Pelodiscus sinensis: one gene and its partner. The main gene of each other region encodes a partner of the protein of the gene in region 2 in a complex. Links are inferred from orthologs where the notes say so. Each region holds a gene or a part of one and is shown on either strand. Other genes may lie near its edges.

What was found. The genes of interacting proteins can lie anywhere in the genome.
Region 1: the proteins of NTRK1 (region 2) and NGF are in contact, whole or in part, in a crystal structure (PDB 1WWW), measured with the Homo sapiens proteins. The link is inferred for Pelodiscus sinensis from reciprocal best matches to the Homo sapiens genes NTRK1 and NGF. Residues at the interface, in NP_002520.2 of Homo sapiens: His291, Val294, Glu295, Met296, His297, Cys300, Pro302, Phe303, Ser304, Leu333, Glu334, His343, Gly344, Cys345, Arg347, Thr352, His353, Met379, Asp380, Pro382; in NP_001424474.1 of Homo sapiens: His125, Pro126, Ile127, Phe128, Arg130, Gly131, Glu132, Phe133, Ser134, Ser138, Ser140, Trp142, Tyr173, Phe175, Arg180.

Annotation. Positions count from the first base shown.
Region 1 is NC_134737.1:178,124-183,389, reverse strand, and holds NGF (beta-nerve growth factor), read right to left. Parts: upstream 1,387-5,266; coding exon 658-1,386; 3' UTR 514-657; downstream 1-513. UniProt on the Homo sapiens protein: Nerve growth factor is important for the development and maintenance of the sympathetic and sensory nervous systems.
Region 2 is NC_134734.1:18,100,931-18,108,827, reverse strand, and holds the start of NTRK1 (high affinity nerve growth factor receptor), read right to left. Parts: upstream 3,019-7,897; 5' UTR 2,876-3,018; coding exon 2,667-2,875; intron 1-2,666. UniProt on the Homo sapiens protein: Receptor tyrosine kinase involved in the development and the maturation of the central and peripheral nervous systems through regulation of proliferation, differentiation and survival of sympathetic and nervous neurons.

The DNA of each region.
Region 1 (5,266 bases), on a different chromosome or scaffold from region 2:
ATTTACATCATAATGCCCAGAGTGGTATAAAAATCACTGTATGTTGCACCAACAGTTCTCAGAATCCTAATGACAGACTAGTAGAATGGGGACAAAACTGGAAAAAAACAAGTGGGCCTGTAGCACTTTAGAGCCTAACAAAAATATAGAGGACCACTGATTGTTTTGGTTTTTTAAAAACATTTTAAGTTACAGACTAACACAGCTTACCCCTTGGAGACTAGTAGAATGGGAGTAAACCCAGCTATATTTTTCTAGTGTTTTTTTTTTTTTTTATACTTTCATGAGTTGGAAAAGAACATAACCTTCTGGAACAAGCCATAGATTTTCCCACGAAAAGGGCAGGTTTGCTTGTGAAAATTGGCTTGGGGGAGGGAGGGTGGAAGGAAAGTGCAAAATGTTTTTTTTCACAGAACAGTGCGCTCAGTGGCCACGCTGTGTGGCTCACAAGGCAGAGATGAATATCTCCCCAAAGGAGTGTTACATCGTTAAATTAAATGCATCACACAAAACGAGTTTCCAAAAGTTTAATAAATAGCGAGGTTCGTTCTTTACTGTATAAACTATAAATATACCACGCAGTCCTTATAACTTAAAATAATTTACAGGCTGAGGTAGGGGGGAGGGGAGCATGTGGGTGCGATGGTTTGTTCCATCTCAGGGTCTCACGGTTTTCCGGCTGAGCACGCACACGCAGGCAGTATTAATTCGGATAAATCTCCAGGCTGCTTGCTTGCCTTCCATTGTCAGTGCTTTGACAAAGGTGTGCGTGGTGGTGCAGTAGGAATTCCAGTGCTTAGCATCAATCCCCCGGCACCCACTGGAAACAGGCTTAGGTTCCCTGCACATGGTTTCGAAGAAGTACTGCTTGAAGACATTGTTGTTAATGTTCACCTCTCCCAGCACCGTCACCTCTTTGCCTTTGATGTCTGTTGCTGTGGTTTTGTCCCCAACCCACTTGCTGACACTGTCACAGACTGAGAATTCTCCGCGGTGCAGCACGGGATGAGCCGTCCGCTTGGTTCGGACAGTCCTGTTAAGAGAATCTCCACTTCCCAGATACTCCATGTCCTGGCCGTCCCCTACCAGTGGCGGGGGCTGTGTGCTGAACAGAACCCGAGGGGACCGGAATCGTCTCTTCCTGAAAAGCTTTGGATCCACCGTGATGTTGGCCGCTTGGCCTGAGTCTCCGTCGTCCGCCTTCTCAACGAGGCTGTGGTTTCCTGTGTGTGCAGCCGCCTTGGCAATGTGATTGGCTTTAGTCCGGTGGATATTTGGAATGGTGGGTCCTGCAGGAAACCCCCCTGGAGCATTATTCTCTGACTTTGGTGCTGCCTGTATGCCGAGCAAAAAAGCTACAATCAGAGTGTAGTACAGCATGGACATTACGCTATGCACCTAGAATGAAACAGAAACTGAGGGTTACTACGAGTGACATGCACCTGAAAGCACTTGTGCTGCTTGAGAGAGGCCCACTCGGACCTGGATGGGTATTTACTGCTCTAATGCTGCTAATGCTGGTGAATTTGCTGGCTATTCAGCATTGCAGTGCAGATCATGCAGCTCTCATCAGCTATTCATGTGGGTCCCAGATGTTCTTCTAGAAAAACTTTCAAACAGCATTAATGTGCTTAATAAAGTAGGAATACAAGGAAATAATGGCTGGATTATAATGAATTCCTTTCATATTTGTTATCAGAACATTGTATATGAAGCACCTGTTTGGGGTTATTAATGTGGAGACTTAGGGTGTTCTCTGGAGTAGAAATCTCCTTTGATATTTTTCTCAGGCTCCTTGACAATAGCTACTGCTGCTTGGGAGCCACTGTGGCTACAGACCTGGGATTTATGGGTAGAGAAATGCCCTCCTTTGTTCTGAAAACCAGGAGCAAGTACAGGTTCCACAGACAACGCCTAGAGAAACAAGTTTGTTGCTCTGCAACCTGGAGAATACTAGGGATGTTAAATATCGGTTAATTGAATAGTCGATTAACCTCCATGAATTCTTATCGGTTACTCGACTATTTTATAGTCCTTGGGCAGCCCCTGTCTGGGATGAAGGGGTCTGTGCTCCCAGACCCGGCGTGAGTTGGAACTGAGCTGGCTGCCTGCCCGCACGGCTGCTAATACACTTTAAATGCAGAGCCACACTGGGGTAAGTCCAGGACCCAGTGTGAGCTGGGCTGCTGGCCAGCCTGCTAAAAAATGTACTGGCAAAGGGTGGGGGGAAATGCACATAATCTATAACATTAACCGATAAGCTTCTGCTTGTCAGTTAATCGACTCCACTATTGCATCCCTAGAGAATTTGTACATCTGCTTGGGTGTTGAAAAATGTAAAATCAGTTTCTAAAGATTCTCCAAGAATAACATTATACCACAAGTTCGGTGACAGTGAAAGCTGCATTAGGGAATCCAGACAAGTGTTAGGTAATGAATCAGTACTAGACATCCTATGAATAAGAGAGACAGTCCAAACATAAGCTGAAAATGCACTTAAGGGCAGACATTCAGTTTCCCTTGTGAAGCACTAATAAGTACAGACTGGGTATAAACAGAAAAAAACTGTCAAGCCAGACTGCTCCCCTCAGTGGCTTCTTTGGCCTGACATGTTTCAGCTGGCCCTGGATTTCTCTGCATGGCTGGCAGGCACAAGCTGACTGGACAAACAGTTTCACAGGGGAAAATTCAAACTCTGCAGTTGAGCTCTGATTTCCCATACTGTTTTAATATTTTTTGGGCATGGGTCACTTGTTACTAAAGCTTCCCACTCTTTCTTCTCAGCCTTCACTAGTCAAAAATGGAGAGGATTACTAGAATACTAGTTAATATTTCATGCTACTAGTTCTCATGGACAACTCAAGAGTCTATAAGAAAACTGATGTCTGAGGTAAGAGCTGGCGAGACCTGACCAGCTGGGCCTCTGTAGGCCTGGGTGATCTGAGGGACATAAGAAGTGAGCCAAAGATGCCAAATGGAAGGAGTTACTGAAGCAGTAATGATGCTAAAGTCCCTGCAATAAGAGGAGCTAGAGAGACCAAAAGCTACTTGAGCATTTCTCAGTGCATTGAGCAACCTGGATTAAGTGGCGATTGAATGTTGGAGAGAGGCAGGTCTTGCTGCAATGAACATGTGCCCTCATTTAGACTCGGAGCAGAATTGAGGCTGCCTTCTTCCTACATTCCGTTTGTGAGATACAGGCACCGTCTGGGCAAGGAAACAGAATCTGGAGGTGGGAGTAGAACTGTAGCCATGTGAGTCTACGAGTAACCTCCAGTTCTCCAGCTCCAAATTAAAATCAGATGGCTCACAACATCGCTAACGAATTTTCTTTTTTCAATAGAGTTGTTATTGAAAAAGGTCTGCAGAACGAAATCCAGACGTAGTTTAAACACCCCCTCAGCAGCCTCAACGAAACGTATTTACATATAGGCCCTTTGTTTATACTTTCCTTCTATAGGAAATAGAGCTTAGTGAGGCCAATAAAAGGCTGTGTTCTGCTTTTGCGTGATGCAGAATTCACTAGTCTAAATGCAGCAACATTTAAAAACTCCTTTATCTGTCTTCCTCAAGCCCTTTTCCTTTGATTACACAGTTACTAACATCATTGTACTGTGTGCTTTAAACCTACTACCACTAAATTGAAACCATCTCCGCAGCCCTCTCCCTCCCAGCTTTACAACTGCTCCATAACTCTCTTCACCAGCAGGCAGCACGGTGTGAGGTAGGAGTCACAGAACAAAGCTGTTTGTTTGGGCGGTTTTAGTAGTTATATGTTAACCCTGAGAAAGCATTTTCAAACCTGGATATTTTCTATCTGCTTACGGGACATGGAAGCTGAAGGATGAAAGCAATGTGCACTTCACCTGCAATTTCTTGAATGTGCAAAATAAATGTAAAGCCCAGGCAGGGCTTGAAGTGTGTGGAAAATGGATTTGCTTACAGAAATGGCCATTCCACAAGGTCTGCTGCTGTTCTTCCATTCACACGCTTAGTACGTACTTGATGCCTAGGTGCTGCTCTTTGAAAATGTTTACAGTGTATCTGAACTTCAGAGAGGGAAGGAGTTGCCTCTTGTAGGCATGAAATTCAGGGACATTTCTTTGCATATGTAGCCATGTGGGTCCTCACAAACAGATGTGACTTCAGAAAGGCTGAACCATCATTAGAATACAGCAATCAGTAAACATGTCTCATAAATGATGTAAGCTGCTAGAAGAAGGTGGGAGGGCTCAATGAAATTGAAAGACAACTAATCAAAATGTGTAGGGATCTGTTGAGTTAACCTGGGAGTTCCCTGCTACAGGATATTATTGGGGGAAATCACTAACAGCCGTAACAAATTTGGTGCTTACCAAATAAGAATACTAAGTGCAAGTAAACAGGCAAAAGTAAAATGATACAGTCTGTTGCTCTTCCAACTTCAGAATATAAACTGATCACTCTTTTGAGCTAAGAAAAGATCTGCTATTTTCACACCTTGCTCTGCAGTTGGCCAAGTGCATGACTTGTTTATTCTGTTACCTCTCCTCTGGTGCAGCTGGTACAGGGGGCTGGTGTACATAGATGTGGTCAGGTTCCTACTGTGCTTACCTCTGGGTGTACTGAACGGAAAGCTGCTCCCAGGCAAGGTCTCTATTGCCTCCAGACGCTGAGCTGAAATTGGATGCAGCATGCCATCAGGCAGGCCAGTGTGACTGCACAGCTAAGAGTCTCGGTGCAGCCTACTCTGGGTTCTGCTAGAGAAGAAAAGTATCCATTTCAATAATAATTCAGAAAATAAGCTTTCAAATAAGTTTTCCTTGTTGTTAGAAGAGGCTGGGGACAGGCCTGGCAAGCATCCAGCTGGAAGCTCGCTTACATGGCTCTTTGAATGATCCCCCCCCCCTTTTTTTTTTGCATTGGTTTCACAGTATAGGAGTTCTCTGCAGCACAGCAGTCTCTGACACTCTGGGCACTGGCCTTGAAGAACAGCAAAGCATGAAAGCACACGCTTCGCTTTAAGCAGGGGATGTAAAAGTTTAACTGGTGAACCGATATACCGATGCTTATCGGTTCTGATTAACGGTCAAACTCCGGTGCAGCTGGCTGCCCACAAAGCCGTGATGCCAGGAGGCTGCGGAGCCAGCGAGGATGGCAGTGCTAGGCAGCCAAGGGTGCCATTTCGGGAGAGCAGGGAAGGCAGCAGCCATGCATCCCAGGACATGGCTTGCTGTTCTTCCTGTTGCCTGGGCTATCCGGAGGCAAGGGGAAAGCACGTGGATGC
Region 2 (7,897 bases):
ATCCTCAGCTGGGCCAGCAAACTGGACATTAACGCCCCTGTTCTCCGTGCAACACGCTTCAGCACCCCCGGCCGCAGGGAGTTTGGCAGGTCTCTGTCCAACTCCCTGGGGAGGGAGGCACCCACTGACCCACAGCCACCCACTGACCCACAGCCCATCTGCACCCAATGCAGATGTTAACCCATTCACGCCATAAACATTCCCCCTACCGCCCCAGGCTAGGGTCACGTCCTTCCCAGTGCACAGACTGGGACACTGAGGCAGGGGAGGGGCAAGACCTTCTGCAAGGCCACGTGGCCACCACCAGTCGGTTCTTTGGAGGCCTGGTCGCAGGCTTTTTGCAGAAGGGAACCCTGCCTCCTGCCCTGTCCCATCCCGCTCAGGGCAAACTGAGAGCAGCCTCGGCAGAGCCACCTAAGCCTGCAGGTGCCAGAGGCTAATGTAGACACATTGCTGCCCGCCAGCCCTGCAGCCAACGCCCTTCAAGGGGAGGTCTGACCGCGCTGCTCAGTGCACCAGGCTGATTGGCACTAAGGGGGAATCCCTCTGCCAGTGGATCCCCATCCGGACACAGCAGCCGGCTGGGGCTGGCCACAGCTGGGGACCTGCCCCATCAACTCCCATGGAGCGAGACCCATTTACTCCCTGGGGCACAGCACTGATGCCTCCTGCTCACGCAGGACCGGGGCGGGGGGAGGGAGCCCTCCCAGGAGCACAGCCCCCGGCCTGCACAGGATAGGGGGAAAGCAAATCATGCAGGCTACAGCATCAGCCAGGGAATGACTGGGGCAGCTGCCCAGCCAAGGGGGGCAGATGGAGGGGCCATAGAGAAAGTGGGGTGAGTGGGATCGAATAGGGGGTGCTGGCGAGAACGGGGACTGAGCTGGCCACTGCGTAGAGACTGGGTCTCTGCTCAATTTCCTCCAGTTCTGGGCCAGTTTTCCCCCCCCCCCAAAACCTGTGCACAGCCCAGCGTCGTCCTCCCCCGCCCCCACTTTCCTCCCTCCAGGGGTCCCAGCTCCCGGATCTGAATAAGCCCCACTGCTCCCCCTCCCTGCCCCTCCTGTAGCTGCCTGGAAATAAAACCAGGAGTCCTGGTTCCCAGCCCCCTGCTCCGACCCACCAGACCCTGCTCCCTCCTGCAGCCAACTCATTTCCCCTGGAGAACAGCTGCTCCATGAGCCCACCTGAAGGGAAATGGGGGTGGGGAGGGGTCATGCAAGCCCCCAGTGCTCAGACCCCTGCTGCTCCCAAGCTGGGCAGGGAGAGCTCAATGCAAAGCCCTTGCGGAGCTCCTGCCCCCCACCCCACCCCTCCAGAGAGCCCCTGGAGCTGAGGCTGGACCCCATCTCACCAGGCCTCTGGGTAGAGCTAACAGCACCCCCCTTTGCCACACCCACCGAGCCAGGGCACTGTCCCGACCCACCCAGAGCACTGCTGGCTTCCCCATTCCCCTTCCAGTGCCCCCAAACCCATGCGCAGGGGCAGTTCTAAACCCATCTCTGCCCTGATCCAGATGGGGAAGGGCTGGGTGCTACCAGGGGAGCTCAGAAGGGGAGCGGTTCCCTGACCCTGCCTGGACCCACTGGGTGGGGTCTCCCCAGCCCTCTCTGATCCCAGCCGGGGCAGGCATAGGTGGCACACAGGGTCACCTTGCCCAGCTGACACTCTCCTCCCAGGGGCTGTCGCCCGTCCATCCCCTGGCACCCAGCCTGCCACAAGGCATGGGACAGGCCAGTTCAAAGCCCTTCGCACCCACTTACAGCCTCCAATCTGCACCCTTCACGTCTCTGAGCTTCCCCCACATAATGCCCCATGTCCCCTCTCTAGCGGCATACCTCTGCCTCCCTGCTCCCCCTCCCCTGGAACTCCTGCACCCCAACCCCGCCCCTCCCCAATCCACACTCCCCAACAGCCTTATGCCTCCTGTTTGTAATGCCCCCCCGGACATACACTGGAGACAAACGGGCATCTCCGCCCCCTCCCCGGTCCTTGGGAACGCACTGGCATCTCCCTCCACACTGGTCCCTGGGGATGCTCTGGCATCTCGCCCCCCCACCCAGAGTCCCTGGAGTGCATTGGCACCTCCCTCCATGGCACAGTCCCTGGGTCATGTTGGCATCTCTGCTCTTCCCCACACAGGGCTGCACTGGCATTACACCCTCCCCATCACGGTCCCTTGGGACACGCAGGCATCTTCCCCCCACATGGTCCCTGGGAGCACACTGGCATCACCCCCTCCTTGTCACGGTCCCTGGGGGCACGCGGGTATCACGCTCTCCTTGTCACGGTCCCTGGGGGCACGCGGGTATCTTCCCCTCCACAAGGGTCCCTGGGGACGCACTGGCATCGCCTCCCCCCCCGACGGCTCTTGGGGGGCGCTGGCAACGTCCCCCCCCGGATCCCTGGAGTGCATTGGCATCTCCCTCCATGGCACGGTCCCTGGGGGCACACGGGTATCTTCCCCCACATGGTCCCTGGGAGCGCACTGGCATCACCCCCTCCTTGTCACAGTTCCTGGGGGCATGCGGGTATTCCCCCCCCCCATGGCTCTTGGGGCGCGCTGGCAACGCCCCCCCCCCCCGGATCCCTGGAGTGCATTGGCATCTCCCTCCATGGCACGGTCCCTGGGGGCGCTGGCGTCGCCCCCTCCCCGCCCCACTCACACGTCGGTGAAGTTCTCGGCGCCCAGCAGCTGGCCGAGCCCGCGGACGCGGTTGGGCTCCAGGCAGTGCAGCGAGGCGGTCCCGTAGCACCTGCAGGCAGCGGGGCAGGGTCCGGCCGCTGCCCAGCCCGGCACCCGGAGCAGCCAGGCCAGCAGCAGCCAAGCGGGGCAGCCGGCGGGAGCCGGGGGCATCCTGCGGGCCCGGGGCATGGCGCTGCCCAGCCCTAGCCCAGCGCCTGCCGCTCCCCGACCTCCGCTGCACCGGCTGGGCGCGGGTGTGCAGGAGGCGCCCGGTTTAAAGGCAGGAGGGGCTGGGCGGGGCCTGCGGCTGCCCCCCCCCCCGCACCTCCACGCCCCCAGGAGCCGGGCGCTGGGGCTGCCCAGGGAGCGCGGGGCGGATGGAGAAGAGACGGGATCGGCGAGGAGCCCGCTGTGCAAGCGGGCAGGGCAGCCACGGCGGGGGTAGAAAGGGGCTGCGGGTCTGGAGTGAGGGGCACTGGCAGGGCTGGCGGGGGAGGGGGCTGGGGTCGGAGGAGGGGGCTGGGAGGGGGCTGGACTGGCGGGGGAGGGGGCTGGGGTCGGAGGAGGGGGCTGGGAGGGGGCTGGACTGGCGGGGGAGGGGGCTGGGGTCGGAGGGAGGGGGGTTGGGAGGGGGCTGGACTGGCGGGGGAGGGGGCTGGGGTCGGAGGGGGGGGCTGGGAGGGGGCTGGCCTGGCGGGGGAGGGGGCTGGGGTCGGAGGAGGGGGCTGGGAGGGGGCTGGCCTGGCGGGGGAGGGGGCTGGGGTCGGAGGAGGGGGCTGGGAGGGGGCTGGCCTGGCGGGGGAGGGGGCTGGGGTCGGAGGAGAGGGCTGGGAGGGGGCTGGCCTGGCGGGGGAGGGGGCTGGGGTCGGAGGAGGGGGCTGGGAGGGGGCTGGACTGGCGGGGGAGGGGGCTGGGGTCGGAGGGAGGGGGGTTGGGAGGGGGCTGGGGTCGGAGGGAGGGGGAGCTGGGGCCGGGTCAGCAGGGCACCTGGCCTGGGAGCGCAGCGCGGGGAGCGGCAGCCGCGGGGCCGGGCGGGATGTCATAGAACCGTGGGACTGGAAGGGACCCGGAGGGGTCATCGAGTCCAGGAACCTGGTGCCTCCGGCGCCGGAGCGGACTCTGAGTCAAGTTCCCTGGAAGTCCCGGAGCCGCCCACTGGCGGGGGCGGGGGGCAGGACTCTCCCCCCCCCAGCCCCGCCTGCCCTCCTGGGGCTGCGCCTGGCTCCCGGGACACACAAGCCCCAGCTGGCGGCACCTCAGCCCCTGGAGAGCAGCGACACCCCGGGGCCCAGGCCCAGAGCAGGCTGCAGGGAGAGCGGCTCGGTAGGGGGCGCTGCCCGGCGCCAACACACCCGCGCCCCGCACAGCTCGCCACAACTCCCGTAACACGCGCAGGAGCGCACACACCTCCCTCCCCGCACACACAGCATCGCACACCTCCCTTCACACACACACACACACACACACACACACTGCATCGCACACCTCCCTACACACACACACACACACACACACACACACACACACACTGCATCGCACACCTCCCTACACACACACACACACACACACACACACACACACACTGCATCGCACACCTCCCTACACACACACACACACACACACACACACACTGCATCGCACACCTCCCTACACACACACACACACACACACACACGGCATCGCACACCTCCCTACACACACACACACACATACACGGCATCGCACACCTCCCTTCTCACTCACATACACACACTGCATCGTACACCTAACATCACACACACACACACACACACTGCATCGCACACCCCCCTTCACACACACACCTCCCTCCCTCCCGGCACACTCCACAACTCTTCCCGCTCACACTGCATCGCACCCCTCCGATCACACACATTCATGCACACAGCCTCCCCACACCGCTCAGGGGCCACACTCCACACCCCATCACATATACAACCTGCTAACACAATAGCACCCTCCTTCCCCCCCCCCCACAAGCTCCCCGCCCCCTCCCATTTCACACTAGCTGGGCCGTGCCCCAGCCCCCCTCGCTGGAAAAAATGTTCCTGCGAATTCCGCCCCGGGTTCTTCCTCCTCCCTCCCCCCCCCCCCCCGCAATCCCTCGGGCATTAAGGACCCGAGCCTCTGGGGGGGGGGGGGAGTTGACTGCTCAGGAGGGGCCTTCCGGCCTGAACCCGCCTTCGCCAAAGAGCTGCTCGCCGCACCCCCCCCCCCCCGCCGGCATCTCTCGGCTGCACGCCAGAGGTGGCTGCATTGGAGAGAAGCGACTCCCGGGGGTGTCTCTTCCAGAGCCTCTCTCTGCCTGGCTGGAAGCGGGCGAGTGGGAAAGGCCCGCCGGGAGCCTGTGACGAAACCCTCCCACGCTGCTGGAGAATTACGGGAAATCGCGGCTGTTAATAACCAGCCGCGGCACGTTTCGTCGGGGGGGGAATCTCCGAGGGCTTGAGGAAGGGCGGTGGGAACCGTCCCGGTACGTTTTACGGATGGGGAAACTGAGGCACGGAGCTCTGGGGCGAAAGCGCACCGTCTCCCCGCTCCCAGCCCGCTGCTCTGGCCACTAGGCAGCACCGCCTCCCCTCACACTATCGGAGGACTCCGTCCAATGCGGCTTCCCTCGAGGTGAGTGTGAGCTACCTCAAGGAGTCTGCGGGGGGCAGAGTTAAGGCGGTTAGCCCACACAAACCGGGCGTTTTCTTCCTCAAACCGTGTCTGGCTTTGAGGGTTCCCCCATGTATCCCCCCTAGTGTTCAAAGATCGTTCATAGCCCCTCTGACCCCCACGTCGGAAGTGATCCAGGACTGCCGCCGGGGGAGGTAGGGCGGAGTTTTAAGCCTCTTCCAAGGCAGGGCAGCGCCAGCTTAGACTGACTCGGGCATCCCTGTCTATGGGGTCCCCTGCCCCGTAGTTGCCCAGCATGGCTGCTTCTGCCCCCGCCCCGCGCAGGTGGTAGGAGGCCCCAACGGGGGAGTGGTGGGGAGCCGCCTGGGAGGTGTGGGTGGGGCTGGAGAGCGTCTGTCACCCGAGGGCAGTGGGGTGAGGCGCCACCCTACGCCTAGCTGAACAGTCTCCCGTGGGGTCCGGGAGTGTCAATCGGAGGTGGCAGGTGCTGGCTGGGAAGAGCAGAGACGTGGAAGGGGCAGGAGGAGAATTCGAGGGGTTAGACACGGCGCCGAGGGCTGCCTGGCTCTCCCCCTGCCGCTCAGGGCACTGTTATGGAGGAAGAGCGCAGCCTTTTCAGACTCTAATGGTGACAGTCTGGGCCAGCCGGGACTCCTGCCTTGCGGCCAGGGAAAGGTGGCTCGGGGTTTGGAGAAGGGGCCCGGGAGGCAGGACACCAGGGCCCTATTCCTAGCCTGATCTATTGCCACGGTTATTTTCTCTCTCTGCCAGATGTTCCACCCACCCACCCCAAGCTCCTCCCACTCTCACCCAATGGTCATGCCTGTGCCAAGCCGACCCGCATGAGACAGCTCCCGGCGCTTACGTATGGGGGAAATCCCATTAGGGTTCAGAGTTAACAAACCACCCTGCCCTCTCCCGTTGGCGCTGCAGGTGTCGGGCGCGCTGTGTCCCAGGGGGCACGGGGCAGGGCTGGGCCCGTGTCCGGGATTCCCTGGCGGAATTATCCAGACCCAAGCGAGTCCCCACCCCCACACGACCAGGAATTTGGCTCCTGTCCCAAGCCTGGCCGCTCTCTCCCAGCCCCCCTCCGGCTGCGGCACCTCGCGGACGGTGCCCTGGGAGCGGCCCTTCCCGGGGCGCCGCTAGACTGGGAGGGGGAGACTCCAATAACGTCCCCCCCTTGCAGCCACGTGGGGCCCGTCTCCGCCAGGTCACTCTGCCCACCCCCCTACCACCCAGCCAATGCGCCTCCACCCTACGGGCGAAACTCCCCAGAGGCCGGGGCAGCCTCAACCCAGCCCCGGGTCAGAGCCTTCCTGGGAGAAGACGCGGTGCTTTAGCTGCGCTCCTGGACACAGCGCCCGTCCCCAGCGCACAGGGGGCAGCCCCCGAAGCCAACAGAGACCCCCCCCACCCGCCGGCCTCCCTCACCTCTGCTGGGCGCAGCGCCCCCCCCCCCCCCAGGTGTGCCCATGGATAACTGAGTGCTCGCCTCCAGCTAACCCCTTCCCTGCCGGGGCAGATTTGGCTGCGCCCCGGGCCCTGGCCAGGGGGCTCGCCTTTCTTTCCACAGCCGCCTTTCTTTGCGGCTTTGCCCCCCGAGACCCAGAACCCCCCCGCCCCACATCAGGGTGGGAAAGCGCCTTTTCGGCGGGAGGCAGCCTTCCTATGCTAAGCCGCCAGCGCACGGCTGCCAGACAGCTGCCACGCCCCACCCCAGAGCGGGCTGCATTTCGGGGGCGGGGCAATGGGGCACGGGAGCTGCAAGCGGCCGGGGCAGGAGGGGGAGGGCTGGGGGTGTCCGGGGCTGTGTAGCCTTTGTCCTTGTCAATGCCCAGCCTGGTCCCGGAGCCGGGGATGCGGGTTTGCCCGGCAGCGCCTGGCCGCCCGACCCTGCGCCCAACACCAGGGGACCGGCCGCTCGCTGTTACCTGCTTGGCACAGGAGCCCAGAACCAACTCCGCCCCGCCGGGCCCTCAGGAGGCGCCCAGCCTGCTCCTCCGCTCGCTGGGGCTGGAGGCGGCCGGGGCACGTCTCCCTATTCTCCCTCCCTGCTACCGTCACCCAGTAGCCGAGTGCGCTAGGGCGCCCCCTGCGGGCGAGGCGATACCACGCTACCAGCCTACTACTGCTGCCGGCTGGCAGAGCGCCTCCGCCATGGCCCAGAGCTCTGCGGGGTGGCGCCCAACTTCCCCCCGTTCCAGGGATATTTCCTGGGTTCCATTTTCCTTCCTCCCTGGACAATAAAGGCTGGCAATAGGCTGAGTGTGGTGGCCCAGGGGCTGGACACTTTAGGAGGGGGAGGAGTCCAAGGCCGACTGGGGCTCCAAGCCGGAATATTCCCCCCTTGTATCTCACTCGCCCCCTGCAAATACAAACAGCCCTGGGTTCCCAAACCGGAGGGTGCAGCGCAGGCAGCAGCCACAAGGGGAAACGTCTGGAAAACGTGACCTGAGGGAAGACTGAAAGAATTGGGGTTGTTTAGTCTGGAGAAGAGAAGACTGAGAGGGGACATGAGAGCAGCTTTCAAGGACCTGAAAGGGTGTCACAAGGAGGAGGGAGAAAAAT